Lepisosteus oculatus: one gene and its partners. The protein of the gene in region 4 purifies or fractionates together with the protein of the main gene of each other region. This does not show direct contact. Links are inferred from orthologs where the notes say so. Each region holds a gene or a part of one and is shown on either strand. Other genes may lie near its edges.

Evidence for each region.
Region 1: the proteins of trim33 (region 4) and smad2 purify together in Homo sapiens (affinity purification with western blotting; 7 studies listed by BioGRID and IntAct, with this or other methods). This does not show direct contact. The link is inferred for Lepisosteus oculatus from reciprocal best matches to the Homo sapiens genes TRIM33 and SMAD2.
Region 2: the proteins of trim33 (region 4) and FACT complex subunit SSRP1 purify together in Homo sapiens (affinity purification with mass spectrometry; 3 studies listed by BioGRID and IntAct, with this or other methods). This does not show direct contact. The link is inferred for Lepisosteus oculatus from reciprocal best matches to the Homo sapiens genes TRIM33 and SSRP1.
Region 3: the proteins of trim33 (region 4) and skila purify together in Homo sapiens (affinity purification with western blotting; 4 studies listed by BioGRID and IntAct, with this or other methods). This does not show direct contact. The link is inferred for Lepisosteus oculatus from reciprocal best matches to the Homo sapiens genes TRIM33 and SKIL.

The regions. Positions count from the first base shown.
Region 1 is NC_090698.1:17,846,499-17,854,161, reverse strand, and holds the start of smad2 (mothers against decapentaplegic homolog 2), read left to right. Parts: upstream 1-4,651; 5' UTR 4,652-4,670; intron 4,671-4,676; exon of another isoform or gene 4,677-5,078; 5' UTR 5,079-5,215; intron 5,216-7,663. UniProt on the Homo sapiens protein: Receptor-regulated SMAD (R-SMAD) that is an intracellular signal transducer and transcriptional modulator activated by TGF-beta (transforming growth factor) and activin type 1 receptor kinases.
Region 2 is NC_090701.1:42,561,913-42,569,162, forward strand, and holds the start of FACT complex subunit SSRP1, read left to right. Parts: upstream 1-4,237; 5' UTR 4,238-4,663; coding exon 4,664-4,717; intron 4,718-5,045; coding exon 5,046-5,231; intron 5,232-6,625; coding exon 6,626-6,731; intron 6,732-7,204; coding exon 7,205-7,250. Other genes in the region: pold4 (DNA polymerase delta subunit 4), read left to right, coding at 710-734. UniProt on the Homo sapiens protein: Component of the FACT complex, a general chromatin factor that acts to reorganize nucleosomes. The FACT complex is involved in multiple processes that require DNA as a template such as mRNA elongation, DNA replication and DNA repair.
Region 3 is NC_090708.1:13,841,519-13,849,488, forward strand, and holds the start of skila (ski-like protein), read right to left. Parts: upstream 3,007-7,970; 5' UTR 2,709-3,006; intron 2,699-2,708; exon of another isoform or gene 2,592-2,698; intron 2,553-2,591; exon of another isoform or gene 2,098-2,552; intron 1,620-2,097; 5' UTR 1,492-1,619; intron 1,062-1,491; 5' UTR 909-1,061; coding exon 1-908. UniProt on the Homo sapiens protein: May have regulatory role in cell division or differentiation in response to extracellular signals.
Region 4 is NC_090700.1:32,460,948-32,468,745, reverse strand, and holds the start of trim33 (E3 ubiquitin-protein ligase TRIM33), read right to left. Parts: upstream 3,017-7,798; 5' UTR 2,989-3,016; coding exon 2,496-2,988; intron 1-2,495. Other genes in the region: bcas2 (pre-mRNA-splicing factor SPF27), read right to left, coding at 7,230-7,356, 7,562-7,642. UniProt on the Homo sapiens protein: Acts as an E3 ubiquitin-protein ligase. Promotes SMAD4 ubiquitination, nuclear exclusion and degradation via the ubiquitin proteasome pathway. According to PubMed:16751102, does not promote a decrease in the level of endogenous SMAD4.

The DNA of each region.
Region 1 (7,663 bases), on a different chromosome or scaffold from region 4:
TCTGGACAGTCCTGTGTGAATCATACTTTGCCTCGGAAAATTAGCAACGACCACAGAAAGGTACTAACACTATTATAATTAATGATATTGGGCTTCATTTAGCTGTGTGAGCGATGTTGATATACATTATGCATATACCTATAAAGTACTTGTTACATATATCGCACATTAATATAGTGTTTACTGTAAGTACTGTAGAATCTTTATGGCACTGTTTAAAATAATTTTGAAGGATTTCAAAACAACTCTTATAACAACTTTATAGAACAAATATTTCCAAGTCAATTAAATAAACTAAAAGATTTAGGAACATAAATTAAAGATAAAAGTCCAATAATCAGATAAATATTCAGAGAAAATTAAAGAGAAATCCAATACATTTTATAAAACAGATTCAAGCAAAGGCAAATGATTGCATGCTGTGGTACACGTCATAAATCCTGCATGTTTTATTCCCAACAGTAATCTTTAAAACAATAGCAAAACCACAACCGTTCTTCTTATTCCCCTCAAAAACTAACCATTGAGATTTTATACAAGTCTTAATTACACATGGATGTTGCCTCTAAGGCAGATGACATTCCACATGCTAACCAGTAATAAGATGTTTACCATAAGGCCAAAATTAATTTTCAGATAAAGACGCATAATGGCGCCATCTGGTGTTCAGCATCGGCATTAACGCAGTTTGCAACTGTTTCCAACTCGGTACAACGAAACACGAAAAAGCACCTAAGCCCCAAAACTTAATTTTTGATCATCTCTGATCTACCAACTATATACCTTCTGTATGCTTGAAAGTCCTTGTTACAGAAGTGGTCACAGGCAACTCTTTACAGGTCTTTTTCCTGACATACCGAAAGTATATCTAACAACTACAAAGCCTATGAAATATAACTAAGGATGAAAATAATAATACTAATAATTGCTTACTATACCGCTTTTCTGGACATTCCACTCAAAGCGCTTTACAGGTAATGGGGATTCCCCTCCACCACCACCAATGTGCAGAATCCACCTGGATGATGCGGAGGCAGCCATAGTGCGCCAGAACACTCCCCACACATCAGCTATCAATGGGGAGGAGAGCAGAGTAATGAAGCCTATTTATAGATGGGGATTGGTAAGGGCGAATGGGAACTCTGGCCAGGACACCGGGGTTATACCCCTACTCTTTTCAAGAAACACCCTGGGATTTTTAATGACTACAAAGAGTCAAGACCTTGGTTTTACCTCTCATCTGAAGGACAGCACCTTTTTTACAGTATAGTGTCCCCGTCACTACACTGGGGCATTAGGACCCACACAGACTGCAGGGTGAGTGTCCCTACTAGCCCCACTAACACCTCTTCCGAGCAGCAATCTTAGTTTTTCCCAGGAGGTCTCCCATCCAGGTACTAACCAGGTTCACACCTGCTCAGCTTCAGTGGGTTGCCAGTTGTGAGTCACAGGGTGATACGGCTGCTGACAGTATACTACTGACTGAATAAAACACATATCACACAGGATATTTGGAAACCGGAACTAGAGAGCCATAGAAAATATGAAAAAATGTTTCACATATCCTTATGTTTTAATTAACTGTTTTAATTAAGAAATGAATGGATCAATACTTACAAGATGACACGTGCCTTGAGGAGGAATTAGTGCCTATGGATAACAACAAAAACACTCACCACTGGCTGTGTCACATTCAGGTTTAACACCACGTGTCTCTGGGATAGCTGTTGTAATGATTGAATTGATCAATAGGATCCTGAAATGTTTGGCCTGATATTGTGGATACTGTTTATATATAACTGATCTTATACAGAATTAGGGACATCCTTCTTCACCCTATACATTTTAACAAGGAGGCTGATAATAAGTCACTGTCCCAGTAAAATTAAAGTGGACCCCGACTTAGAATTTTCCTTATCAAAAAACTTTTGAGTGGTCAAATCTAAATGTGCATTTTGAGGCTGTAAGCTGGAAGGCATGCAGTACCATCAGCAGTTTGAGCTCATGGTGCCATTGTCACCACAGAGACACCCTAAGCTTTGACTTCCCTCAAAGGCCACATTCCAGAATGTTAAATGAACCTCTTTTAAACCAGCTACTGTTCTGAAGACCCAGGAAAAGTGTTCAATTATCTCAATGGGCTTAGAGATCAGGCTGAATGAAACCCAGTAGGGCCACACCTATCCATCGCTGGGGTTAAAGGCAAGTTCAGAGCTGAGGCTTCTGTACTTAAGTAGTGTCAAATGGAGTTGGATGTACAACAGGGCTTCCAGTATCAGGAACATCCCCAGGGCCCAAGGCCAGGGAAAACAAGAAATTAAATTAAAATATACTGAGGCTGCAGAAAATTAAGAACATTATTTTTCTTCCATGAATGGGCTTCTATTTTTTATCCAAATTAGCTGTCTTCCTACAAACTATTCAGTTTAATTGGATATCTACTAAGAAGGACTAGAGTAACACTTTTTTACAGTACTTAAGTGGTTCGAAAGGTCCCCCTGAGAACAGCACTTACATAACAGTGCTCCGGAGTGCTATTAGTGTTGTTTTTCAGTTCTAAGCATTATAAAAATAGAAATAATTATCTTAATGGTGCAATTTATACAACTGCACTTTTCTTCTTGGTTCTTTTCTCACCAATTGAGCTTCCTTTGTGCTTTGCAAGATTTTTTTTCGTTTACATTCCTGTTTTGTTATTCTCTGTTTTGCAGGTAGAGTCACAGGGAAAAATAAAATACAGAACTTTAATAGCATTGTATCAAACTTTTTCCAACAACAGTCTCTTTTTGACAACAGTGTATTCAACATAAAATATAAAAATCCAGCATCCCGAAGACAGCAAAATGTTTTTTTTTATTTCTGACACTCATATGACCTCCTGTCACTTTATACTCAACACAGACTATATTCAGCCACAGCTAGAGTGCGCAGTGTGTTTCCGTCTGTCTCTACAATGTTCAAATCTTTTTAAATCTGTTTCCCTTGTTTCTTTCCCAAGTTGGCAAAAAGCTACACTCACCAACAGCCACCTGCTAGAATTACATAGCTGTACCGATGCCTGAAAATAAAAAAGTTAGTTCCACTATCAAATTCCTTCTTTTTTTTCACAAAAGCTATCAAAACATTAATCGGGCATCTAGTCTCAGCCACAGGACTGCATGGAAGGTGCTAAAAGAGAAGATAGATTTTATAGAAGCTTATTTTAACGTCCCTTTGCTTTGCTCTTGGGGAATTAATACCAATAATTCATTATTTCTCGCAGGACAGTCGTTCACACAATAACTTTGGCCTCTGCAAGCTGCTTTGGATAAAGGTGGATCTACACGCTGATCCTAAGGAGATGCTGCTTTTCAGTTTCGAGTGAAGAATACAACAAAAGGAACAGAAATACCTTTCGGGCCCCGATACTATCTAGAAAGATACAGTCTCTCAAAGTGCTCCGTCTCAGCTCTTCTATGAGTGTCTCTCGGAACAAGAAAAAAAGGTAAAAAGCAGAATTCATACATTTTCTACACAGCCTGTTGCAGCATATTTAGATTTGCACGAAAGTTTGATTACTTCGTTTTACTTCATTGTAAAGCCTCGTTAATTTTTGGGTTACCATATATATTTTTGGAAAGCGATGACATATTACTTGATTGACTTTTTTACCATCGGTTCGGTTATTAAAAATGAGCGGAAAATATTTGAATTATTCTGTTATTAGGTATCGTAAAGCTAAGGAGCTGGATTTCCTAACATACAAGTGCCCAACTTAGTTAACCTGACCTGCAGCGTTTCTGGTGTAATGCAAAATCAAATGTATAGAAAAGTAAAAGTTCTTTATGTAACTATGGCGATATGAAACCGCTTTTGTCATTATGTATTACATTTTGTTTTTTATACTTAAAACATAATTCATCTGACAATTTTAAGATTTGTCAACATGCTGTTCTTAAACCCACAGCAACGCAAATGAAAACACGTAGAAAAACTAAGGTCAATTTCAACAGTACCTTGTTTACCAATAGTTTGCATGTATAAATCCATCTAAAAAGGTGCCACATGTTTTTGGACAGTGATTGTGCACGGGGTTATGTGATGAATTATGTAACTACTGCAGCACAGAACCAACAATAAATATTTCAGTCCTGCCATGACACCACACAAGACTTCAGCCTTTCTCCATAACGCATAATCCACGCGCACGTGTCCTCCCTCTTTCTTACTAAAACTTCCACATCCTGAAAGAGAGCTCTACTTTGTCTTCATCTGCTTTGGCGGAGGAACACAATAGCGGTACAGCAACACAAATGTTTTGAGACGATTCAGCTAACGCACCAGCCTCCTAATCCCCACCCCTCCTCTGAGCCAAATCTATTATGAAGTCATTTGATTGACAGTAGAATTCCCAATTGAATCTCTGGATGTAATCTAGACGCTCTATTGACAGAGCGTTTCGGCGAATAAAAATATATATGGGGTGTACGTAACTATTAGTTCCTGCTTGCGCATGACGATGTATGGTTGACACTTCCTTTAACCAATCGCGAGCATGATGTATTCTGAGCTACGCTCTTCGATCTACACTACCACCCAATAGGAGGTTAAAAGGCGGGTTTAATCTCGGGAAGCTGTCGCGTAGCTAACCGTGGGGATAGATAGGTTGTTGAGTGCGAGGCCGTTCGTCTGTGAGTGTGTCGGGGCGACTGGGGGAGAAGGGGGAAAAAACTCGCTGGAAAAAATAATTTATAGATCTGTAAAAAAAAATATTTAAAGCAAACGTTATTTTAATTAATCGTTTGAGCCTCTAGTCCCCTTTCGCATGATACTGCTTGAAAGGAAGTAAGAGTATTTTGCTTGAGATAAAGAAGGGCGGGTTGGAAACATGTTTTAAAATCCTGTTTATTTTTCTGTCACCTAAAGTAACCCTAAATATTCCCCGGGATTTTAATTCGCTGGCTAGCCTGAAAACGGAAAAAAACCCCGCTGACAGCCTGCCGAATATGAACTGAGATTCCTGCCAGGGATATAGCCTTATCTGGTTGTTTTGTGGATAAACATCGGCGACGATCCTGGGTTTTATTGTTTCATTGTAGCTCAGTTAGTGGCTGCGGGGTCGCTGGGCTGCATCGGACAGCCCGTGCAAGATCAAGATTTTCGTCAGCGGCTTCAGCACTTCAGCAAAGTGGAACCTGAGCGTTGATCAGCAACACTGTACTTAAAATCTTTCGAGGTGAGTTTTTTTCAGTGTGTGTGTGTGTGTTTTCTCCTAGCAGTCCATGGATTGTTAGTGCAGCGATGTTAGCTGATGTACTTTAGCGACGGCCTGGCCTGTGTTGCATGCTCGATGTGATACTTTTTCGATCTGTTTCGCTTCACTTGAGATGTAACTGTAGTTGGGGCTTTTTTGTTTCTTGGAAATCCGCCCAGAGACCGGTTCTCTTATTTTTTTCCAAGGTATTTTTGGTTTTCGAAGTCCATGCTCGGGGCTTTGGCTTTGTGAATATGTGACGATGGGTGTTACGTAACGGCAATTGTTGCTGAAAAATTGTGTGGGGGAGAGAGATGGGCAAAAACTTTTCACGTATTTTGATTCCCTGGAGCTGTCTTCGTATTTCTGTATCTGGTAAGGAGCCCTAGGGTACTTTAGTGTCCATAAGCGAGGGCAATCAGTTTTTGCAAGTTTGTTCATTTAATCGATCAGATGGAGTATCTTAATTTTAAAACATTTAGATCACAAAATCCTGATCTAATGATCATGAAGTGATTTCAGTCTTTTAGTTTGGATGACTTGTCATCTTTACTTGTGAGGTAAAAAGGGCTATATTAAGTTCAACGAGATTCCTCAGGTGTCGATTAGGACTAGCTTCCAGTACCGGAAAATGGTACAGAAACATTTTGTAGGGCGTGAATGTGAGGATTTCTTTGTTCATAACTCGCGAATTCTGTTTTTTTTTTCGAGTGCATTTAATTTTAGGCTTTGTAATTTGGTAACTTCGAATATGTAACACATATAATCGAATATGTAATGCCCATGTTTGCAAGCCCTAGGTGAAAACGATTGCGCACGTCTTTTGTACACAGGCTTGGGGTTGTCACTTACCTCTCAAAAGTTTAAATAAAGCTGTAGAGGCTGGCTGAGATATTTTATCAACGTTTCTTAAAATACATTTCTTTTTAAATTCTTTCTCGATGGCTTCTGTTTGGAAAATAGTTTGATTAGCTTCGCCCACATTAAATTAGTGGGGTATCTTGTTTTTAACACTTAACAGTGCGACGCCTTTTGGGTTTGGTTGAAGGTTTCACGTCTTGTAAAATTTAAAATAATATGTTTATGCTACAATTCCTATGATGCGCTTGCTTCTTCACCATATTTTTACGTTTATTACTCATTGTCTTCCTTTGCAGCCGCCGCAGAAATCGATTCTTATAAGTGCTGCCTGAAATCGTTTTTGTGACAAGATTTTCGGCTTTAAATAACAGTCTCTTAACGTACTGGATTATTCTTGCTCTCTCTTGAAGTCTTTTTGCTTTCTACTTTAACTCCACACGTCAGAAGAAAAAAACACTGCAATGCAAAGTGTCAACTTCAGTCTGTGTTTGAAATAACCATAGTGAAAGTTAAAGGCACGTTTATTACCATTTCTGTATACACTACCGCATGTGCAAAGAGGTGGAAATCCCATTATAATGCTGGAAAACATTTTGATGCATATTTTTTAAACGATTAAAAAATTCTCAATTTGGATTTTTTTGTGGTGGTGGGGGTGGTTGTCATCTGTCCCTGATAAAGTGTTGCCCGTTAATTTATGAGTTCAGATAGTTGGTTTTCCTAAAATTGGTGTCTAGTATTGTAAATCCTTCTGTAATGATTTGTGTGGATTTGAAGTGAAGTGACTGTTCCCAGTCCAGCACTTCCAGGGGTCTCTTTAGAAACTGCTGAACTGGAAGTGATTGTTTTGCTGAACGGAAAAATTTTGATATCGCCATAATCATCAATATTTGTTGCCTTCAAACTCTTAATAGTAATTAAAGGTGGGTTCTAGAAATTGATGCCCATTAGCAAGTGTTGCAGCAGCTGTTTAATTAATGTGCTTGAGTCTCTCACATCTTTGGTTGAGGTGTGCTCACTTTTAAGTTGTCATGTTCCATGATTGTTGCTGGAAAGGATCCATGATGATGTCTGCACGACATCAAATCTTGTCTTTCGTACAATATTTCTTTCTGCTGACTGCTAAGTACTTAACTGTTCATAACGGCTAGGATGTTGTGGTTTACATCATGCTCTAGTACAGTATGTATGGTAAAAACGTCTGGGGATCGTTTACACAAGGGGGGAATGAGTTGAATATGAAAAAGAGTGCTTTTGTGAACACCGACAACATAGCCTTTTTATTAATGATTAGGCCTACCTGTTATATAGTCAGCATAACAAACTCTAAACAATTTGAGTCTTTCTGTTTGCAGTTTCTAACAGTGTAAGTTTACAAGGCATGTATTAGACAGTTTCTTTATAATAAGTGCATGAAGCATTCGCTTAATGTTGGCTTGAGTGTACTTATTTCTGCATTTATACTTTTTTCAACCTCTCAAATCGGCCAAGTAAAAAAAAACCAAACCTTTTCTGTTGCAGGCCTTCATCCTGAAAATGCCTGTGTTTTATTAATAAGGAGTCATTAGT
Region 2 (7,250 bases), on a different chromosome or scaffold from region 4:
GAGTTCTGAGGAACAGCCTTTTCCAGGCAGTGTCCGGGTGGTGTGAGCACTGTTAGATTATTGAGCTGACAGTGCTCACTGGGATATCCAGGCACTGTGATATTTCTCGTACTCATTGCCTAATCTATCCAATTTTTAATCACTTTATCTCTGATGTCCTTAGAATGCTCTTTAGTCTTCATTTTCATGGCTTTATAGCTTTACTTCAGATTCACTGCCTGACCAATGATCCTGAAACACACTGGGGGTTTTATCCAGTAAATGTGACAGTCACTTCAGTAAGTGTGACAGTGACTAGGCAGGGGCCAATGGTAACACAATTGTATCCTTGTCAGGGCAATTTCATTCACCTGTGTTAATTCAGAGCCATGAGATTAGAAGGGCTGGAATACTTATGCAAGCAGCATATACACACCCGTATACAGTATATATACTGTGCACACTGTACACACAGTCTACTCTATCTATATACTGTGCATGTGCACACTGTACACAAACTCTCATTGTATATATATATACTGTGCACACAGTACACACTACTCTGTATATACTGTGCACAGTACACACACTCTACTCGGTATATATGCTGTTCAGTCTCTACACACTCTCTACTCTGGATATACTGTATACTGAAGGCATTGTGAGTACTGCAGAGCATAACTTGCCAGTGTGCACACAGTGTAATCAGTCCTTTTTCTGTGTCTTCCAGTCTGTGGCACGAGTACCCCCTGTGACCCAGCGCTGTGGAGAAGAGAGCGAAGAGTGAATGTCTTCAGTGTTACACACACCAGCACCTCTATTCCAGAGCCCTGCGCTCCTCTTTTATACTGGATTGTAATCACAGCTTTGACATAGTGATTGTTCAAGAAAGATTAAAATTTTAGATTTTGGAAACTGCATTTCTCATGCCTGGTCTGTCTCAGTGCAGTGTTAATGTCCTGTAGTGTCCAGTCAGTGTATCTGGACTGTATTAACCCCCTCTCTCTCAGTGGAGTGTAAATGTCCTGTGGTGTCCAGTCAGTGTGTCTGTACTGTATTAACCCCTTTCTCTCAGTGCAGTGTTAATGTCCTGTAGTGTCCAGTCAGTGTGTCTGGACTGTATTAACCCCTCTCTCTCAGTGCAGTGTTGATGTCCTGTAGTGTCCAGTCAGTGTGTCTGGACTGTAATAACCCCTCTCTCTCAGTGCAGTGTTAATGTCCTGTAGTGTCCAGTCAGTGTGTCTGTACTGTATTAACCCCTCTCTCTCAGTGCAGTGTTAATGTCCTGTAGTGTCCAGTCAGTGTGTCTGTATTGTATTAACCCCTCTCTCTCAGTGCAGTGTTAATGTACTGTAGTGTCCAGTCAGTGTGTCTGGACTGTATTAACCCCTCTCTCTCAGTGCAGTGTTCATGTACTGTAGTGTCCAGTCAGTGTGTCTGGACTGTATTAACCCCTCTCTCTCAGTGCAGTGTTAATGTCTCTCTCTTGCTCCTTCTCTTATTTTCTGTTCCATTACTCTGTTTTCATCTGTCCCCCCTTCTCTCTCCCTCCTGAAACATGATCTTCTACATCTCTCTGTGTTAAACCTATTCACCTCGAAGGCACTCATTAAACACTTCAGATTGATCTCTTTATCGCTCATAAAAGAAGGAGAATTTAAAATGAAAGAGAGAAGTATTTTAATGTGATGGTAACACCCATCTTCTTTCACAATCGTTCCTTCACACACACACACACACTCCCTTTCCTCTGCATTCAAACACATCAGCCTGACACCTTGTACTCTCAGAAAGCAGAGACGTGTTGGGATTTTCTTTTTTGTTTCCACTTAAAGCTTCACTTTTGAGGAAGAGTTGTGGGAGTGTGGAACAAGCTGCCCAGCCATTTTGTTGAAACTGATACCCTGATGTCTTTCAAGAAACATCTGGATGAAATTCTTGGATCAATTAACTGCCAATTATCAAAGAAGGCGAGATGTGTCAAATGGCCTCCCTTTGTGACTTGTGATGTTTTTCCGAGTATACTTTTACAAAAACAACGTAGTTTTCATGTACTGTAGAGTCCACTCTGTGTGTACTGTATTAACCCCTCTCTCTCAGTGCAGTGTTAATGTCCTGTAGTGTCCAGTCAGTGTGTCTGGACTGTATTAACCCCTCTCTCTCAGTGCCGTGTTAATGTACTGTAGTGTCCAGTCAGTGTGTCTGGACTGTATTAACCCCTCTCTCTCAGTGCAGTGTTAATGTACTGTAGTGTCCAGTGTGTCTGTACTGTATTAACCCCTCTCTCTCTCAGCTGTTTCCGTGATGCTGCTGGTTAAGACCTCATTGCCAGATGGTACAGTTTTGTGCAGGAGGTATACGTTAAGTTTAAGCAGTGTAGGACTGCTTAAAAGCTCTCCTGTTTCGTCCTTAATTGTGAAAGTCTCTGGTCTCTCTCCCCCCTCCCTGGTCTCTCTGTTGGAACAGGACTAATCCTAGATTACCAAAGCAAACAGAGTGTATCTGTCTCACTGTGTTCAGTGCCTCTTCTTTCTCTTCCTATTGTGCCCCAGTCATTCCTGAAGCATTAGCAGTGTTTGCTGGGTGATTACTTTAATACCTCCATGGCACCTCACTCTGACAACTGCTACACCAGACTGCACACATAGTGTGGCCACAGCTAGTGTGTGCATGGTGCAGGAGAGAGATTGTGTGTTTTGTGTGTACAGTATGTGAAAGGGAGTGTGTGTATTGTGTGTACAGGGTCTGAGAGAGAGAGTATGAGTGTGTATTGTGTATGCAGTGTAAGCAATTGTGTGTATATTTCACATGCAGTGTGTGAGGAAGTGCGAGGGAGTGTGTATGTATTGTGTGTCAGCAGGTGTGTGTGTAGTGTGTGTAGTATGTGACAGTGAGTGTATGTAGTGTGTGTAGTCTGTGTGTGTGTAGTCTATTTGTGCAGTGTGTGTGCAGTGTGTAGTGTGCATGTGTAGTGTGTGTGCAGTGTGCATATTGTGTTTGTGTAGTGTGTGTGGTGTGCATGTGTAGTGTTTGTGTAGTGTGGGTGGTGTGCGTTTGTAGTGTGTCTGGTGTGAGTGTAGTTTGTGTAGTGTGTGTGTGGTGTTTGTGTAGTGTGGGTGGTGTGCGTTTAGTTTGTGCAGTGTGCGTGTCGTTTGTGTAGTGTTTGTGTAGTGTGGGTGGTGTGCGTGTAGTTTGTGTTGTGTGTGTGGTGTTTGTGTAATGTGGGTGGTGTGCGTGTAATTTGTGTAGTGTGTGCCAGGAAGCGCGGTGTTTTTACAGAACAGTCCGGACAAACCCGCTGCACTGATCGCTACAGCCCGGCTGCTTTGTTTCCCCACAAGGCTAAAGCTTTCAGTTCACAGACCCCATGAATTATACATTCCTCCATCTTAAATTATATTTGTCTGTATCTTTGAAGTTTTTCAAACACTAGAGTGATTCTGTCCAGAAAAATATTATTGGACGTATTTGCGCCTCCCTGCGACACTGAACCGACAGCGGCTGCTCCGAGCACGAAAACCTCAAGCGCGGTCTATGTCTCCCTCTGCTGTCAGAGTGTGTGTGTATCGTTTATACAGTGTGTGAGAGTTATTGTGTATACAGTTCGTGTGTATTGTATATACAGTGTGAGTGTGTGTGTGGTGTATACTTCATGTGTATTGTGTGTACAGTGTGAGTGTGTGTTGTGTACTCAGTGTGAGAGAGAGTGTGTGTATTGCATATACAGTTTAAGTGTGTGAATTGTGTATACAGTATGAGAGTGTGTGTATTGTGTGTAGAGTGTGAGTGTATTGTGTGTACAGTGTGAAAGTGTGTGTATTGTGAACACAGTGTGAGAGTGTGTGTGCATTGTGTATCTAGTGTGTGTGTATTGTGTATACAGTTTGTATGTATAGAGTGAGAGTGTGTGTATTGTGTCCAGTGTGTGAGTGTGTGGATTGTGCACTCTGTGTAAGCGAGTGTTTGTGTATTTGTACACGTATGAGAGAAGCAGTTTGTAGAGCGTGTTTACTGTGTTGTCTCACTAAGCCCATATAAACTCTCCGAGGCCAAGACAGCGCCTCCACGGTCCCCACGGATTGTGTGCGCTATTACGGTAAAAGAACAACAATAACCATACAAATTTATGCGTTGTAAAGGTCGATAGTTCATATAGATTGTATTGGGTTTGGCTCGCCCTTTTCAAGCGGAGGCAGAGTAAAATACATTGCGCCAGTTCATTGTGTTATACGGCAGGTCGTAAGGAAGCGGAAGTCAACGCTTTGAGTTTCCGGCTCCTCTTCCGGTAGAGGCCCAGGTGGCGGGTTTGACGCGGGAAAGTGTCTTCTGTAACACAAGTAATCACGATTTCCGAAGACATTTTACAACAGGGGCACCGAAAGTTGTAAGTCCAAGAAGACTAAGCGCATGTCCTTTCATTTCTTCGCAATCGAAATTAACAGTTAAGAGACGCAGCTGGGGCACCGCAAAGCAACATTTTAAACCCCTTGTTATTTATGCGCTACGTTGTGTTGACTCGGCGTGGTGACTTACTGAGCGCCGGGAGAGGAGTCGTTGGTTTCGAATCGTGCCGGGCACTCGGAGCAGTACCATACCGCACCTCGTTGTTGATAGAGCCCGTTATTTCGCAGCTACAGACATTTGAAGTCTCAGTTTTTAACCCGTGGAGTGTCGCAGTGGAAAAATGGGAGACACTCTGGAATTTAACGAGATCTACCAAGAGGTGAAAGGATCGTGGGTGAGTTACACTGAGCTCTCTCTTCCTCTGCATCTCGGATTGAGAAATATTCAGTGGTGACGAGGGGCTTATAATTTTGAGAATTTTACTGTTGTTTGTAGTCGTAGGATATACTGTATATTCTCTCTCAGTGCAGTGTTAATGACCTGTAGTGTCCAGTCAGTGTGTCTGGACTTTATTAACCCCTCTCTCTCAGTGCAGTGTTAATGTCCTGTAGTGTCCAGTCAGTGTGTCTGGACTGTATTAACCCCTCTCTCTCAGTGCAGTGTTAATGTCCTGTAGTGTCCAGTCAGTGTGTCTGGACTGTATTAACCCCTCTCTCTTTCAGAATGATGGTCGTCTGCGTCTCAGTAAGCAGGCTGTGGTGTATAAGAACAGTAAGACCGGGAAGGTGGACAATATCCCCGCGAGTGAGCTGACAGAGTGCGTGTGGCGGCGAGTGTGCCTGGGTCACGGGGTGAAGCTGCTGACCAGCACAGGACACATCTACAAATACGATGGCTTTCGGGAAAGTGTGAGTACACTGGCCAGCCCCCTCACACGCCGCCAGAGATCGAGGACAGGGATGTTGTGCCGTATGGATTTCATGAGCAGGGTCTGTCTGGCGGAGTCTGTTAGGAGAGATGTCTTGGCTGCAATAGAATGACAGGGGTTATGCTGAGCGTGTGTCTCTAGTACTCTCTCTCTCTCTCTCTCTCTCTCTCTCTCTCTCTCAGTGTACAGCCCTGTGAGAAGACGCACTGTCAATTCAATTCAAGGTGCTTTATTAGCATGACCGATGGGTACAATCAGTGTTGCCAAAGCAAATGAAAGTAAAACAAAAAATAGAAGTAAAATAAAATCTACAGACATTTACAACAAAGACATATTATAAAATATTGACATATACTTTAGGCGGCTGGAGCATTATTGGGAGACAGACTCACCGTTCCTCAGGCTGTGACAGGAGCCTGGCCATAGAAACTGGGCGACACAGGCAGACCTGGCTGCCCGGAGAGGACAGGCTGTGCTCCCACTGCCAGCGGGGAGAAATGGAGACAGAGGTGCACTTCCTACTGCACTGTGAGGTCACTGTCTCTCTCTCAGTGTACAGCCCTGTGAGAAGACGCACAATTTAGTTCAATTCAAGGTGCTTTATTTGCATGACCAATGAGTACAATCAGTGTTGCCAAAGCAAAACAAATACAATTAACGTAAAACAAAACATCTACAGACGTTTACAATAAAGACACATCATAAAACGTTTACTTATGGACATATGGAGCATTATTGGGCTACAGGTTCACTGTTCCTCAGGCTGTGACAGGAGATCACATACTGGGCTGCCAATTCAACTGAGTTCCCTGCTCCCTCTCCCAGTAGGATTGGGACACTCTCTCATTGTACAGCCCTGTGAGAAGATGCACACATTAGTTTCCTTCCTATCTGTTATCGGGTTTTGCATTAGGATGTACAGTAGATGTTCGTAAACATCAAACATCTAAAGAACACATGTTTATTTGAGAAACAAGACGTCTTAATAGAGCTGCAGTCTTTTCCCAACGGCATCATGTAGCTCTGGAACGTGTGAATGATCTCTTCAGAGAAACAAAAATTGTCGTTCAGCAATCCTGGAGCTATTTGGACCAAGTTCAGTGCAACATACAGTCTAACAAGTTGATGTTGGTGTGCACTTACAAGTGGATGAGACCTCTGAGAGTTTTGTGGTAGATGATTTCTAAGGAAGCCCGATTGCTAGTGTACTGGTGCGGGCAGAGCACCTCCATCTGGATCAGAACGAGTCCGCTGTCCCAGGTTGGGAATTGTGGTCCTTCGTGTCCCCCAGGTGCCTGCCTCTCAGTGGGGTCCTTGTAGGTCTGTGGGCCTGGTGCCCCCCTGAGCTGATGTCATGCCCTCTTATGTCCGCAGGACTTTGAGAAAATATCGGAGTATTTCAAGAACAATTACAGGGTGGAGCTGATGGAGAAGGACCTGTGTGTGAAGGGCTGGAACTGGGGTACAGCCAAGTTTGGAGGTACGCCTTCAGGACAAGTACAGACAGGGTGTCATCACTGTTGTCAATTTCATACCCTTATGCAGGAGGGTTTAAGTATGAAAAAATATATACTCAGTGTGTGAATCTGTATCATACTAACCCTTCTCTCTCAGTGCAGTGTTAATGTCCTGTAGTGTCCATTCAGTGTGTCTGGACTGTATTAACCCCTCTCTCTCAGTGCAGTGTTAATGTACTGGAGTGTTCAGTCAGTGTGTCTGGACTGTATTAACCCCTCTCTCTCAGTGCATCCAGTGTTAATGTACTGGAGTGTTCAGTCAGTGTGTCTGGACTGTATTAACCCCTCTCTCTCAGTGCAGTGTTAATGTACTGGAGTGTCCAGTCAGTGTGTCTGGACTGTATTAACCCCTCTCTCTCAGTGCATCCAGTGTTAATGTACTGTAGTGTCCAGTCAGTGTGTCTGTACTGTATTAACCCCTCTCTCTCTCTCTCAGGTCCTCTGCTGTCATTCGAGGTCAGTGACAGTCCTGCGTTCGAGGT
Region 3 (7,970 bases), on a different chromosome or scaffold from region 4:
AACATCAGCTGGCACTCGGCGCACTGGATGCACGGCGCGTCGGGCTGAGTGTAGAACCGCGGCACAAACAGGCCCCGGCACTTCCCCAGGCACTCGTGCTCCACCGCGAAGCTGCCCTCGCCCTCCTCCGGCAGGGCCTTGCCCCCCAGCTTGCAGGAGCCCTGCAGGGGCGCGCCGGGGCGCAACAGGGCGTTGCACAGTCTCTGGGCGTCCGTCAGCGTGATCAGGCCGCAGGAGGGCGCGTTGAAAGGCAGGATGCCCAGCACCTTCAGGATGTGCAGCTGGTCGGCGTTGCAGCGGGAGCAGTAGATGTACAGCTCGTCGCAGACCAGGTTGATCTGCTGGAGGGAGAAGTCCCGCAGGACGGAATTGAGCACCTGCGGGAGACACAGCCTCTTCTCGCCGCCCACCACGAAGCAAGAGATGGACTCGCCCTCCAGCAGAGAGTGAGTGAGCTCGGTGGAACTGTCACAGGGGATCAGGAGCGGGCCAGGCAACGCTGGCGGAGAAGGAAGGGGGACAAAGACACTGGGCGACTCCTGGGGGTTGCGTGCAGAAAACGCAGCTGGCCCACCCAGGGAGCTCTGGCTGCTGAGGTGGAACTGGGCCAGCGTGTGCTTGAGGCCCGGACTGAGGTCCAGGGCCTTTGATGGTGGAACGGGCAGCTGCCTGCCCTGTCTCTCCCTCTCGCAGACAGCTGCTTCCCCGGGGTCCTCCGTGTGTTCCTGCTTGACTTTTGGCATTCTGGGGACTCCTTCCAGAGTCCGGCGTTTCAGATGTATTTCTGCCACCACCCTCTTTTTAATAGGGGCGTCTTCCAGTCTCTCTCTGCACAGCCGCTTCATGCTTCCTTTGAGTAAGGCCACGTCTTTTAAAGTGTGTTTCAAAGTGGTCGGCGTGCCAGCCATGCCTTTCCTTTGAGTTTTTGTTGTTATTGTTGGCGTGTGTCTTTATTTTTTGTTCCTGAAAGGATGTGCTCCTTAACATTCACGGCAATCGTAGATTATCATCTTTCCTTTTACATACATGTTTGTGATGGACTGCACACTTGTATACTAATCCTAAAAAAAACAACCAAGAAGAACAGTCATCTTAATCCTTTTAGGCATAATACAAAATGTTACACCAGACATTCTTTTCAGCCTGTGTCTTACATGTTGGTATAAATCTTATTTCAAGCTCTTCTCCATATTAAAAGAACAACCAGGTATATTTGCACTTATTAGGAAAAATGCAGTCTTTTACAGACTGGTGCGTACAGAACCACAGTTTCTAATGAGACGTGACAGGGTCCAATATGTATGGAATTACAAAACATACAATAATAAAATAAGTTTCTTAAATTAGACAGTGGCGTTTAAATGCTCAAAGTAACAGAAGGGGGAGTGTTATACAGATCATATGATACAGGTAAAGAAAAAATAAATAGATACAAATTATGACCCAACTAAAAATTCTCTCAAAGGTAAAGGATGAAGATGTCTAACTTACACAAGCCTTGAATTCCAGTATCGTCTCAGTTCCGCTTAGATCCAGTCAGGTTCAACTGAAGCACCGCCGACAGCATTGACCTTCTCCGATATGCACCAGATGGTTCGGATGTAGAGCAAAGTATAAAGCTGCAATCGAGGTAAAAAAAAACAAACATGTATCCACTGTAGCGCAATAACAACGACAGTCCGTGCGGCAGAGTGAATCCCCAATTCAGTCGACCAGAAGCAGGCTACCCCTCGAGTCCCGGCCGATGTTTCAGCGTGAGCTAGTCGCGGTGATGCCGCGTCCACAAGGGCTGGCTGATGACTAAACGGCACAGTACGCTGGTTCACCCGATATCTTAACGGTTCGTCCCAAATTCGCCCAAACGCCGCTTTCTCCTCCTAGCGGATAGTCACCGCTCCGCCCGGTCCCCCTGTCCGCTCTGCAGTGTGCTCGGACACCGATGGTTTTCAAGCGCAGCGCTCAGCGTTGTTGTGGCGGCTGCTGTATCTTGACATTTCGTTACTCTGCTCCGGGTGCACCCCCCCCCCCCCCTCCCTCCTTTCCTAGCAAGGACAGCGTACACACGACTCTCACTCACTCGCTTTTCTCCCCACCTACCTCTCTTTCCTTTATTTCCTCCACTATGTTGTGCCACCGGCTCGCCTGTGTAGTGTTCATGACATTCACTGTATCGTACACCTTTCACGGGACTCTCTTCCTGCCTCTCACCCCCACCCCCCACACACACGCTACCGCACAGCCAAACCCTTGGTGCCCCCGTCCTAAACCGAGTATATCCCCGAACAGAGGAAGGGCAATCCTTGAATAATCAGAATTGCACTCGTCGACCAGAAAACGCGTTTTAGAAATAATACTTAGCTAACAGATACCCCGATACAGAGGGGAAATACCTTACTGTGCTTCAGTTGCTACTTTTATTTCGTGTTTTTTTAAACGCAATATTTTTTTTTTTTTGGTGTGTGTGTGTGGCTAAGAACAGCAACCCAAAACAAATTAACAGCGTCAGCGAAGCGACCTCCCTTGATAGCATGCGTGCAATAAAACTGTATCGCCCCAGTGCAAACTGGTCAATTCACTCGCTAGCTACACACCTTCAGCTCCCATACCTTGCCATCAGTACAGTACAGCATGCTGTTTACAGGGTAAACGTGCGATTTTCTTTTCGTGGAGGGGAGTGGTACAGAGGCCCGGTGACAGTGACTAATTACCGTGTGTAAATCCTGGTCGCCCGCGTGTAACCTTCTTTTTTGTGTGTGAAAAAAATCCACCTCTCTCGCCTCTCCTCCCTCCTCTTCTCCGTGTCCCCTCGCTCCGTGCCCGACCGTCAACAAAATGCAAGCAGCCAGACACATCACTACACACAGACTCACCACGTCACTCCACAACCCAACAGGCTACGTCACCCGGCTGCTCGGAGCACACGGGCTTGTCACGGAAAAACGAGACGTGGGTGTCTGTCTCGCAGTCTGGGCTTGTGTTTGTTTCTGCAGTCGGGCACACGGCCCAGCCTGCGATGTCACCACCAGCCGCCTGTAACTCCGTTGACGCCTGAGGCGATGGTGCCGTTTCGGTTGCTACGACAAACGCGTTACTTGAAACGGAAAGAAGAAAATGTTCTCGACAGAAAAGTCTCAGGAAACGCTAACTCCCCTTCTCACACAGACAAATCTCCATTGAAGTCCCGTTTCTTTGATTTTTTTCTTTCTTTTTCGTATTTTATTTCCTTTGTCTCAATTATATGAATATCTGCATTTAATTGTCTTTCAACCCGTACCGATTGTCTCAGTGTAAACTGTTTAATGATGAACTATATATATATATCTTTATGCATAATTTGACTGTAATCGTCCTTCCATACACGGTCAGTTTACCATTGTAGAGCAGGGCGATTAAAATCACTGTAGAAATACGTATTAAATTATTGTCAAGGAGACATTTAAATCTCAAGGTTTATAATGTATATTACGTGATAGTACTATTGTAATAATCAACAATTTCAGTTTATCGGCATATTGATCTAAAATTGTAAACGACAAAAGAGTTCTGTTTTTCTGACATGAAAAAAAATTCTCGGAACAAAACTAAAAGCCTTACTTAAGGCTTACTTAAATCTAAATCTGGTCAAATGTGTGTTTAACTGCAGCCTACTCTGTTCCCACGGAAACTCCAGACACGGAACAGTTCACTGTGGTGACAGATATGTAGTATTCGTGTAACTTTCTGCTTTAGATGTCAAGAGATTGCCTGTTTCCAGGAAATAAAACGGTAAAAAACACTACTCCTCTTGCCATTTCAGGCAAAATATAACGCTTCCAGCTAAAGAGCCGGACACAGCGCATTACATTACGAGAGATGTCTGAAGTGTCTGAAGAATAAAACATGTACAACATATTTCATTACATCAGGTGATAGTTTTATTTTCACTGCTTCTGATGACATCCTTCTTAGAACGGACTTAATACACACTAAGTTACTTTCAATATACATACATATTTACGATATGAACTCCTAGCAGGAAGCATTAGTGCATATTTGCAACGATTTATTATTCATGGACTGTGTCAGATCTCATCTGGTGCCTAGACAATTAAGGGATATTACATTTCCCTCTGTCAAGGTCAGTGCTCAGTGAATTGAGTGTTGTTAGAATATTAACATTATATTATTTACTTTGGCAGATGAAATGGCAAGGCGTTTTTGGTGTGTGCATCGGTGAAGAGTTTAACCGAGAAAAGACCAAAACCAGAGGTTCGTGAATGTTAATGTGAATTTACATATTCCTAGTAATTAGAAAAAAAATAAACAAAAAAGTCAATTCAACGCTGATAATACACCCGTGTCTCATCCACACAATTCTTTTTCAGAATGTGAGCAGGGTCAAATCTAAGGGTGTACTGTATCCACCAACCAGATGTAAAAAATAAATTCCCAGTAGGTGATGGCAATTTTTTGCTTGAGAAAGCTTCTTGTCTTCACCGATGAAAAAACGCAAATGTATAATTTTAATTTATGTCCGACTTCTGTTCTCACGGAACCTTGATACAAATAAGGCTTTGACTGTTCAAGAAAAGGCAGGCAGAAACAACGTTTGAAAGGAAAATGGGAAACTGTGAAGAAGTGTTCAGAACACATAGATATGTAAAAATGTCTAATGAAACATACGTGTTGTGCATTAGCTAAACATAAAAAAAACAGTTGTGTTTGAGAGCTTACTTCATCTCCACTATAAAATCAAAGTTTATTGACAGGATAAAACCCCTTGAGTTGCACCATGTCCTTTTCAAGGGGGCCCTGTTAGAATATACACTGTACATAAAATAGTGGGAGCAACAGTATTATGGACTCGTTACAATTCAGAGATACTGGAAAATGTCTGTTTTACTCACCAGAAATCAACACAGATCTTTTTTTTATTCGAATGAATTGTCTTTTCGAATAGCTAGTACTTACCGTAATTGATCAAGCACGGTTGCAGAATAAATCATTCCACAAGGTTCACGACTGGGTATACAGCGTAATACTTTTGTGGTGCGAAAATAAAATAATTGTTTATGAAATATTAGATTTTTGCCTCAAAGGCCTGGGAACATGCGCACAAAAATTTGTCGCTGTTGTCTGACAAATATTTTATCGTCTGCAAGCGACGATATTGTTTACCATTAACTATTCCTAAGAAAAATGATTCATAATACTTAGCTATTCGCTTCTATGTGACCCTGGCCTCTCCTCTATACAGATCTAGATTTTCAAATTACTCAGTCTGAAAAACTTTAAATCTTTGTGACTCACAACCTTGCTATGGGCAGTGTTACTATGTGCTGTGTGAAGGACAAAATTAAGGAATGTTGAGTTTGCTTCCAGCAATAGTGATTCACGGTTTGGTGGCTTGGGCAGGAGTTTTAAATATAAAACTGACTTAAACAGCATGAATGTTCTGGTTTAAATATTTAAAAACCGTGTCATACAGCGATTTACTTATCAAGACCAACTTACGGGTATGCGACTCCAAAATTCTGTCAAGTGTAAAAACCGCGTCATGGATTTCGTTATACTCAACGGATTTTGGGAATCCCCGTTTTAAATCCTGGCGCCGAAGAACTTCCTGTCTTCTATTTAAAAGGAAATTGTTAATGACAATGTACTATCCCGAAACGTTTGTGTTAAAGGGAAGAAAAAAAATACAAGCAGTTTTCTTTATCAAAATAAATCTTAGTTCAGGCTGGTCACTGCAAATTATTAGTCGGTGATTTTAATTTTATTGCCATTGGCTCCTCCGAGACTCTAATTGCACCCTCAAAAAGTGACTTTTATCAAGTGTCGTATATACATGTTATGGGATAGCAAACATAAATTGTGTATATTTGAAAAGATGGTAATGAAAATTGGTAATGGCAAAGTGGGTTTAAAATAACAAAAACTGGCCTTTTATTTTATTTTTAAATATTTTGTATTCAAATCGTGTTTCTTTCTTACAAGAACAGTTTTCAAGGTAGTAACCTACTGTACTGTCACTTGAAGATGAAGTAGTACGTGTCCATGTAGGAACGTTACAAATAAATTATGAATAATACTGTTGCCAAATCGAGCTTTTATGCAATATAAATGGAAGCAAATAATGGTAACATTTTTAAAAATGACAAAGCTTTAACCACGGATTGAGAATACATAATAAAAAATGTTGGAAACCTTACTGAACTGTAATTAATATGCATAGTAAATCAATGTTTTACCCCATCCATACTCCTTGGCATGCAATGGATTTTCACCAGGAAGACGCGAGTTTGTTTGAATGCTTAATTAATCCTCTAAGGGTACCACCTCCAGATAGACTTCTGCAATTAAAGAGTGAGTGTGTTCAGATCTTCTGCCCTTCAGATCATTAACACAGACCCTCAAGGTTATACAGGTTTTGTGGCTGGTGATTGTTTTGTGAGGAGTCAGAGACATTTGCTAGATGGGTCACAGGAAAGGTCGGTTTTCCATCTGCCCCTCATCACCCAAATGTTCAATGTCTGAATTATACTTTATCCAACCTGTGTTAACTGCTGTGGCTCATTAAAGAGCTCTGCCCATCCAGCCTCTGAGCACCTTTGTCATGAGACTGCTGATAAACATGAAGTGCAGAATTGTGGAAGTAAGGATATTTGTTAATTTGTTATCTGGGGGTAATCTGACATTTTACCTGTGCCGTTCTGGCTCTGCGGCTGGAATGGCCTATGTTACAGGTCCTGAGAATCCATCACCATCTAACTTCATATCTACCGCTACTTTGAATAACAGTAGAAACCCCCAATTTGTCAATTATCTGCCACAGCTCTCCAGGGTATGAGATAGCTCCCTTGAAGTTCTACATTCAGAACTGCCTTTTTTTAAATACAGAATATTGTAGTGGTTCAATTTTGTTCTTAACATAGTGATGTACAGTATATCACACTTATTTCACAAGAACATTGCTATTAGAAATGCAAAGGTATAATGAAAAAGGGCACTGGAAATCACTGTGAGATATACTCATGGGGAAAAAATCAGAACTTGTTATCATGCAGGGAAGGTGACTTGAAAAGTATTTTGTTTCCTCACCTTAATGATTTAGAATTCAGGGCATGTCAATGAGAATGAAAGAGGTATAGTGGTAAAAGATAAAGCCTTGGTACTTAGTCTTATACAGCAGCAACATAAATGTGCAAACTAGACTTTCTTCATTCTTTAACACTATTTTGAATAGATCAAACAGCAAAGATGCCTCCTGCGTTGAATACTTACAATTCACCCCTTAACAAGTGTTTTCAATTTAAAATGGCACAGAGGCCAAAAAAACAAAACAAACTTGATGCTTTTAAGGAAGCAAAAAAAATGTATTTGGCATTGATGATATTGTACAGCACCATTTCCACAGCCTAATTTACAGACATACAAAAACATATTGATGCATTAATTTATTACTCAGATCATCATAAGCCATGGCCATTGCGGTTTTGGTTTCTACGGAGATGCCCACTTTCCCCATTACCTGTCTTTCTACCAGTTTCCTGGAGGACATACAAATATCTGTTATTCATTTTCACTTTGATAAAAAAAAACAGATACATTGCTTTTGTATAATGTACTTTTTCATTTAATTAATATTGTTTAATTACAGCATATCATTGCGGTATTTCACCTTACTCTCCAACTTTGGGTTTCCACATGCTGAAGACTATATTGCTTCAAGTACTCTTTTTTTTTTCCTTTTCTTTATGGTGATCATTAGCTTCTTTTTCACCTCTCTTTCCAAACTACTGAGCGACTGCTGCCTCCTTCCACAAAGACAGGAGACATGCAGCTGCTGGGCCTCAGATTCGGTTTCCTCAGTTCAGAGGAACAGCTCCAGACTGTCGCTTTCCAGCTACGTCTGTATCACTTGCTAAAACAGGACCACGTCCTATAATTTTACTGGTATCAGAAAACAAAGACAGCTGCCAAAAAAAATC
Region 4 (7,798 bases):
CCTACTTGGGAAGCAAGACCAGGCTTCCTAATTTGTGTGTCCGTCTTCTCTATTTTGTGTTCAGTTTCACAAACAGACCTTTTCATCTCCAAAACCATTTTTAACAGTGTTTGCTTTGGTGCCTGTTAAATGAGGATTTTAAAACTGTACACAAACACGTCACCCTTCAGCTAAATAAGACATCACTCAGCTGTATAATATCCCAATGCCTTATGTGGATATATATTTGAATAAAGTTTTTTTACAGTGTGCATACATCGTAGCTTAAGTGTTTGACTACAGGGGGATAAATGAAAATTAGCCATACAATGTTCTATTTCATTATATACAAGTAGCGTTTGCACAGCACACTACAAATTGCTTCATTTGAATGTCCATTCTTATTTGAACATTCAAATTAAAAATGAAAAATAAGCATCCTTTTCAGTTGAGTATTTATCACAGGATAAGCAATGGTTAAAGATTTACCTAAACCAGCAACAGGTTTAGGAGTCACAGAATTACCGATCATTCTTATCGTCAAAGTAGTGACATGCAATAGTAAAACATATATAAATTATGAAACTGTAACCTAATAACCTTTTTTAAAAAGGGGCATTCATATATCTTAGTGTTTAGTCCTTCAACAATCATAGCTGCAGTCAGATAAATTCCACAACTGAACAATACTACGATTAAGTACACTCAATATTAAGTGCAATGCATAACATATCTTAACCATTAATGAAGAATACATTAGAAGAAGACCTTGAATAACATCTTTCAAGGTTTTAAAGCCATTTAATAGCCTCAGGAAACATAACTCTCTAGTATATATCACTAGTTTAAGCAAACTGGAAGCAAATATATTCAAGAATTACCTTTGAATTTATGGCACTTAATGACTAATGTACTTTAGTGGTCTTAAAACAAACTCTCTGACATCCAAATGTGACAGCCCGGATTCTGACACCATCACCATCAAGTGGGTCTTGTTAGCAATAGGTACCAGTCCATGCACTACTATAAGCAACCATTACAAGATCGGCATTCAAAAATAAATATAAAGGAATGTGTAGCAAGAGAAATCTCCACCACAGCCCCTTCCTAGTTCATGCTGATCTCAATCATTTACTACAACACCACAACCAGACTGTACCTAGTGCTAACATCCACTTTCTTCCAAATAAAAGAGGATATTTAAACCTTAAACCAGCCTCAGTGTTACCATAGTCAGTTGTTAACATAAGTTACAAATGACAATAAAAACAACAGTTTACCTTTAGACTTGTCCGTAGTTGTTTACTTCAAACTACACGGTATGAGGTGTTACATTCCGTGTAAAATACACAACAAGTCCAATATTTGTTTCCGTCACAGGAAACCTACAAGGTAACAGGAGCAACCCGGCTCACCCATGAGAGATGTTCGAAGGTGGCAAATCAATGAACTACCTGAATTAGGTCTCCCTTAAGAAACATTCATGTTTACCTCTGATGAGCACTTTTAGTTCCGGACCATCCTATATTCCAAACCACATGGGTAGAACACAATTCGGCAAGAAGTCGTCAGATACATTGAAACTTTCAGATTTAGGACCACTAAAACGGTAGACCATGTGCCAACTTCAGCTGCCGATTTCTGGGGTTTTTTGCGATTGCCCGACGACGCGGTGTTTATTTCCAGCAATGTTTCAGGTCTACAATTTGGGCTCATGCTTGTGGCTGAACAGACCTTAACATCCAGCCTGGCTACCAATACCCAGCAGGAGGACTTCAGTCCGTGAGGGACGGTCTGAGATCAGACTCGGTCGTGCGGTCCCCCCCAGTGGGTTAGCAGGCGTGCTTGCTTGACCACGGCAGGGAAGCTCAGCCCGAAAGCATGAAGGCGGAACCTCCACGGCCAGCGAGCAGCGAGGTGACCATGACGGACAGACGGGCAGCACTTGATGGAAAGATCACGGCGCACATGCGCACAAGCAGGGGGAGGCATACATCCGCGGGGAGTCGAATTCGATCACAACAGCTGATGTGCTGAAGGGAGGAAAAAAAAACACTACACGAAAAGGCACTTTCACGTACGCTTCTCGGTCATTCTAAGCACTGTAGGGACACTCTGCTTGCCAACCTGAAGGGGTCCTGCGCCGAAAAACTGTAAGAATACAGATGCAGCACGTTACAGCTCGGCAAGCGGCCAGCAGCGCGATCGGGATCCGTGTGAAAGACCACACGATCGCAACACCAAATCGGCTGCCGCTGGCCAGTCAAGCCCAGATGTTACACATCATGGCTGGCCAACGAGACCTTCGACCCGCCGCTTTGGCTGGGCTTCCCACTCGCTGCTGATAGAAGTGTGTCCTGCCGCTGGGAAACGTTAAAGCTGCCTAGGAACCGTGCAGTCAGCCCCGCACGACGTGGTTTGCCGATACCCGTGCCGAGCTGCCCCCCCTCTTACCTCCAGAAAGCCGATGCCAGAGTGATCCTCGGCTACAAACTCCCCCCCACCTCCCGACTCACCTATGTGGGTGTCCTGGCCGTGCGGGCCCGGCAGCTGCAGGCTGATCTGGCGCTCGGGCTGCGGGATGCAGCGCAGGCAGAAGGAGTGCAGACATGGCAGCAGCTTGGGCTCGCAGTCGCGGCTCTGCAGGCTCTGCTTGCACACCGCACAGGTATCCAGCAGGTTGATCGGAGGTGCCGGAGGCGCTGGTGCCGGGGAAGGGGAGGACACCTCCGACGTGGAGGCCGGGGCGGGCTCCTCGGCGTCCCCGGTGTTCTCGGTGTTGCTGTTGGCTGGGCTGCCGCTGCTCTCTCCCCCAGCGTCCCTGCTCGGAGTCGAGCCTAAGTTGTTATTGTCGGGCTGACCCTCTTCCTCGGCACTCGGGACCGGGTCTATGATGACGAGGGCGTCGGTCTCTTTCGCCGCCGGGTTGCTGCCGTCGTCCTCCCCGGAAGGTTCGGGATTGTTGCTTGCGGGGCTCTCAGTCTCCCCTCCGTCTTTGTTTTCCGCCATCTTGCTTCCTCTTTGAACCGTTTGACGCTTCACGCACCAACAAAACGCCGCAAGGCGGGTGTGGTGACGTAGGAGAGAGCCACCCAGGGTCCTATCGCCAGTAAAGTCTCTCTCATTTATTCGTTACCTGTTGCTTTGGACAGAGTGCAAAACTTTATCGTTAAGTATTAAAATGTGAATGTTGGATCTAAGGAGTTTTGGTATGATGTTATACTTTGCAACATATCATATAGAAGAAATGTTTAGATATAGGTATAGTTAATGTTAGTAATATGGGATAGATACCACATTCACGAAACAAAAAATGTATTAATTCCTTGTGTCCAATTTTTAATAGAAGCGTATTCTTTGTGATTTTTTTCTTCACTTATACCTTTGTATATCGGTTCTCCTTTGGTTGTATTAGTTAATGTTCAATAAAAGTATTAAAACAATCAATCTACCCCAGTGGAGTATATGGGGAGCAAGATGATAAATATGTTTCTGTGAGTGTCTGCAGGTTTACTTGCTCTTTAAAGCAGCACCTTAACAGTTGAGAGAAGCTGTAAATTCGGCCCAGTTAAAATAGTGACCTGGGCAGATCAAGGACTAGGATTGGACACCCCTGATTTAGTGGTTTACTGTTGATCTTGAAGTCCATTAGGTTGGTTTTAGGATTTTGTATGTTGGGTATTTTGAGTTCTTAAATCTGGTAACCTCGTAATTGTCTATGTGCAGAAGTAACATTTAAAAAAACGAAAAAAATCAAGAAAAAATATCAGGCATTTTTTAAGGGGAATTCAAATAATGGTGTCTTACATACAGTATACTAAAAAAATAAATATTAAAATACGAGCACGTTCATCAGAGTTCAGATTTAATAATTATTTGCGATTTCATTCCGAAAGATCAGCTCAATGGACAGTTGGTCATGCTTCATTCGCAAATTTGAAAAGCGTTCCATATTTCTAGAAAAGCACATTTTATATACACACTGAAATTAAGTCCCGGATCTGGGCGTCAGCTGAACAATTATTGGCATTATCCACTGAAATGGTGCTCCACCCGGGTGACGCACGGTAGCTATATTACACGGCTGCAGTCCCCACTTACAAACGAGATCAGATGGAGAAGTGAGATGTTATTCACCAGTTGAATCAAGGGGAAATCTAGAGAGACCAGATAGTAGCAGCCCAGAGTGGAATTTACCCAGGGCACGGGGGTTTATACACATGCTCTTTCGAGCACTACCCTGGGATCTTTAATAACAAAATATTCAGGATCTCAATATGACGTCTCATCCAAAGGACAGGACAGCACCTGCTACAGAACAGTTCCAGATCACTATACAGGGACAGCGGTTTGGAAATCCCGATCCTAGTCCTGCGTACCGTATTAACACGCACTGCGTAACCTTTAAAATCAAGCCAGTCAGGCTCACACTGTACGCGTGATGTGCGCAAAAACTCAGCAGTGACTTCTATAGGCCTACTGATCATGCGAACAACTGTCATAACATGACTCCCATATTACTAACAAATTAGTCATGTTTTTCTAGATATTTCCATATTAAAGTAGAGTAATCCCCTACGAGACTTTTCTAAACTTTTTTTTCCAATTTCAGAATTCATTGTTAATTTCCCACTAAAACCCACTATCTTTTTAATCAATATCCGTGTAGCTTTCATGTTACTTATTATTGTCCTACAGATTGGCAGATTTTAAACCTATAAGAGATCAGATAAGATCCCTTTATTAGCCATATACAATTTCTTGCATTAGGAATTTGTCTTTTCGCATACCCCAGCTTGCTCTCCATGAGACACACAGGCACACAGATGGGGAGTGAAGCTTGGGGTCAGAGTGCAGGGTCAACCATTTACACGGTGCCCCTGGAGCAGCTGGGGTTAAGGGCCTTGCTCACGGCTCAGGCCTTGCTAACCTATTTAAGGTAGTTTGTTTAATTTCCTTGCTACAACAAATGCTTCGGTGATAAGCATTCGCTCTTCTGAATTGGGGTACCTGTTTCCAAAAGTCCTTGCAATTTTAAGCCGTTTCTTCTCACAAACATCGTATAACAAAAAATGAAATAAATCTGCTTTGTCTCTTTTTTCTTACCCATAATGACTGTATTCCTGCACACATCTTTAGTTGTGATCTTAGAGGGCTGTGTGACGACGACATAGAGTTCTGACTAACCGTTTGTGCAGAAACTGCATACCTGTATGCAGCTTTCTAAAAGTCTAAAGGACACCCGAAGAAGGCTCCACAGACTAAACATGGTCTCTTTTGCTTCCTAAAAGTCACGGAGACCCCAAATTCAATAGGTGCCACCATGATGAAGTTGCCTTCTATGCCGATAATAGGCACTGAACATACAGCGCACATTCACATCTGTGTGTTAAGAGGCTTTCTGTACCGACAAAAAGTCACAGTACATGGGAGACATGAACAGACAACAAATCAGTTAAAAAAAACATCTACAGTATAAACTCGAAGAAAATAGTGAGGAGCTACTGGCTTCATGCTTTTAAAACAAAGTACTTAACACTGAGAAACAATGTCCCAGGTCTAGAAAAAGGTCCTGAATTAACAGTAGCTGATTTTTTGCCTACATTTTTGTCAGCCAGACCATGCAGCCACATTTAAATGCACTGCATACCCAGCATTGGCTCTGCTTCAGGTAGGAGTAATTTATTGTGTACCAACAGCTTGTTGTACAAGTCTGCACCAAAGTATTTTGATAAATCCCCTAAATTGCTCCTTTAGATCCGGGATTGATAAACATCTGGCAACGTGATTTGATTTATATCTTGCCTTCACACAGTGACCCATAGACCCCTTGGTATCCTTAACCAGCAACATGCAAGACACTAACAAAGGAGAACAGGAATTCTGTTATGAGCGACCATACTGTAGATAATCCCTGGCCTTGGAATTGTAGCCCCTTTTAACCTGCAGTTTCGACAATTTCCAGTTGTAGCATTTAATCAGTTGTTGTTCTCAGGATAAGAAGTGCAATCTGTTGGTTTCTGGGGAATTAAGAAAAGGCCTCCACTCATTTACCACCAGCTCACACCTGTTCCAAATCATTCCAAACTGATGATTTAAGCAAGACCTATAAAGACCTGCTGAAAGGCTAGGGTTACATTCAAGTCAAGTGTCAACAGACCCAAAATGGAATGGAAACCACTAAGGCAAAATCAAAATTAAATGGAAGTGCATTTGTTAGAAAGCACAATTGAACATATAGGGTTGTGGGAGTCTGGAACACATTTCCCACTTACATTATGGAAGGTAATTCTCTGGAATATCTCAAGAAATTACTGGATAAGGTCCATGGATCAAGAAGTTATTATGAACCAAACAGGCGAGACGGGCCCAGTGCTCACCTCTCGTTGATAACCATCCTTATAGCTTTTAACGAAAAGATACAATGCATATTAAATAAATAGAAGATAGAACTTTAAATTTTGACATTTTTATTACAAAGAAATCAACTTCAAAATATGTCTGAGCCAAAAGGTATGAGTATTTAGCTTCAGCGTTGCTTCAGACTCGGAGCTTTATTAGTTAACAAAGAGTTAGTGATATAAACCATCCACTGAAACAAAAAGGATTTGGTCATTTTCAGAACTTGCTACCTATAGTATAAAAAGTGAGAATTCATTTTTCAAACCAAAAACATCATTAAAAAGGGCTGCTGAAGAAGTGAGATTTAAAGGTCTTGTGCAATCATGAGTCAATAAAGTCCACTTCCTATTAGCTTCCAAAGGCTGGCAGGAAAGAAAGGCAACACTCCTGTCTCTGCTCAAGAGAACACAAGCAGTGAACACCAGCAACCCCCCTGTTCAAGTGGCAAACCTGCAGGGTGCAGAGAAAAGACAGTACATAGCCACTTATCTTACAGAGGTGCAGACTATTAAAACATTCAGCTGCTGATTAAACCCATGACACTATTTCAAATTGATTATTGAGTAAATTCACTGAGTAAAAGGTATTACTAAGAAGAGGGCAGTTTGTCAAACATTATACTTAATAAATAGCCGACCTCCTTTGACATCTGGGGTGCAACTACATAGAAAAGCAACTGCCCAAGATAAAGTCCTGTCCAAAGGAGATAATCTTGAAGTGCTGACGCCTTCAGACCATATACTAAAACAAGGTAAGGAGCTCCATGGGGAAAGTGAGAGCACTGTCCAGCTGCTGGAATTCCAGTTTGATTGCTTTGGGATTGCTGTGCACAGTGCTGGCTCCATGACTCAGAAGTCCTGCCGGATGTTCTCCTTGTTCTCCTCTCCCTGCTGCTGCTTCAGCACGTACACCTCGTTCTCCAGTTGGACGATGGCACGCTCAATCTCGTAGTTCTTGCTGACCAGCGACACCCAGCTAAAAAGAGCAAAGGTCCAGATCAGTAAACACGCCTATTCAATATAGTTTGGTTTAATCGGTCTACGTTTTCTTGAATTCAAAGGTTAAGGTTGTTTAAGGCTCCAAAAAAGTAATACTTTTTTTCTGCTTCTGTAAAAATATCCGGCGGCTTTAAGCACTTTGCTGTGTCAGTGACTATGAGGACATTAGCATGGGTACTGACTTGGACTCCAGCTCCCGCAGTTTTGCGCCTCCCGTCAGCTGCTCGTTCTTCCTCTGCCAGTTCAGATCCTGAATCTGCTTCCTGAGATGGGGAGGAAAAATGCAAAATTACATTCAACACAAATCAACACTGCTGAACGATGTTCCCTTTTTGATGGGATGGCACGTAAGAGCAACAAAGTTAGGCTTTTACACTTTGACTTAGACAAGCACCAGATTTCTTAAAACACAATGTAGA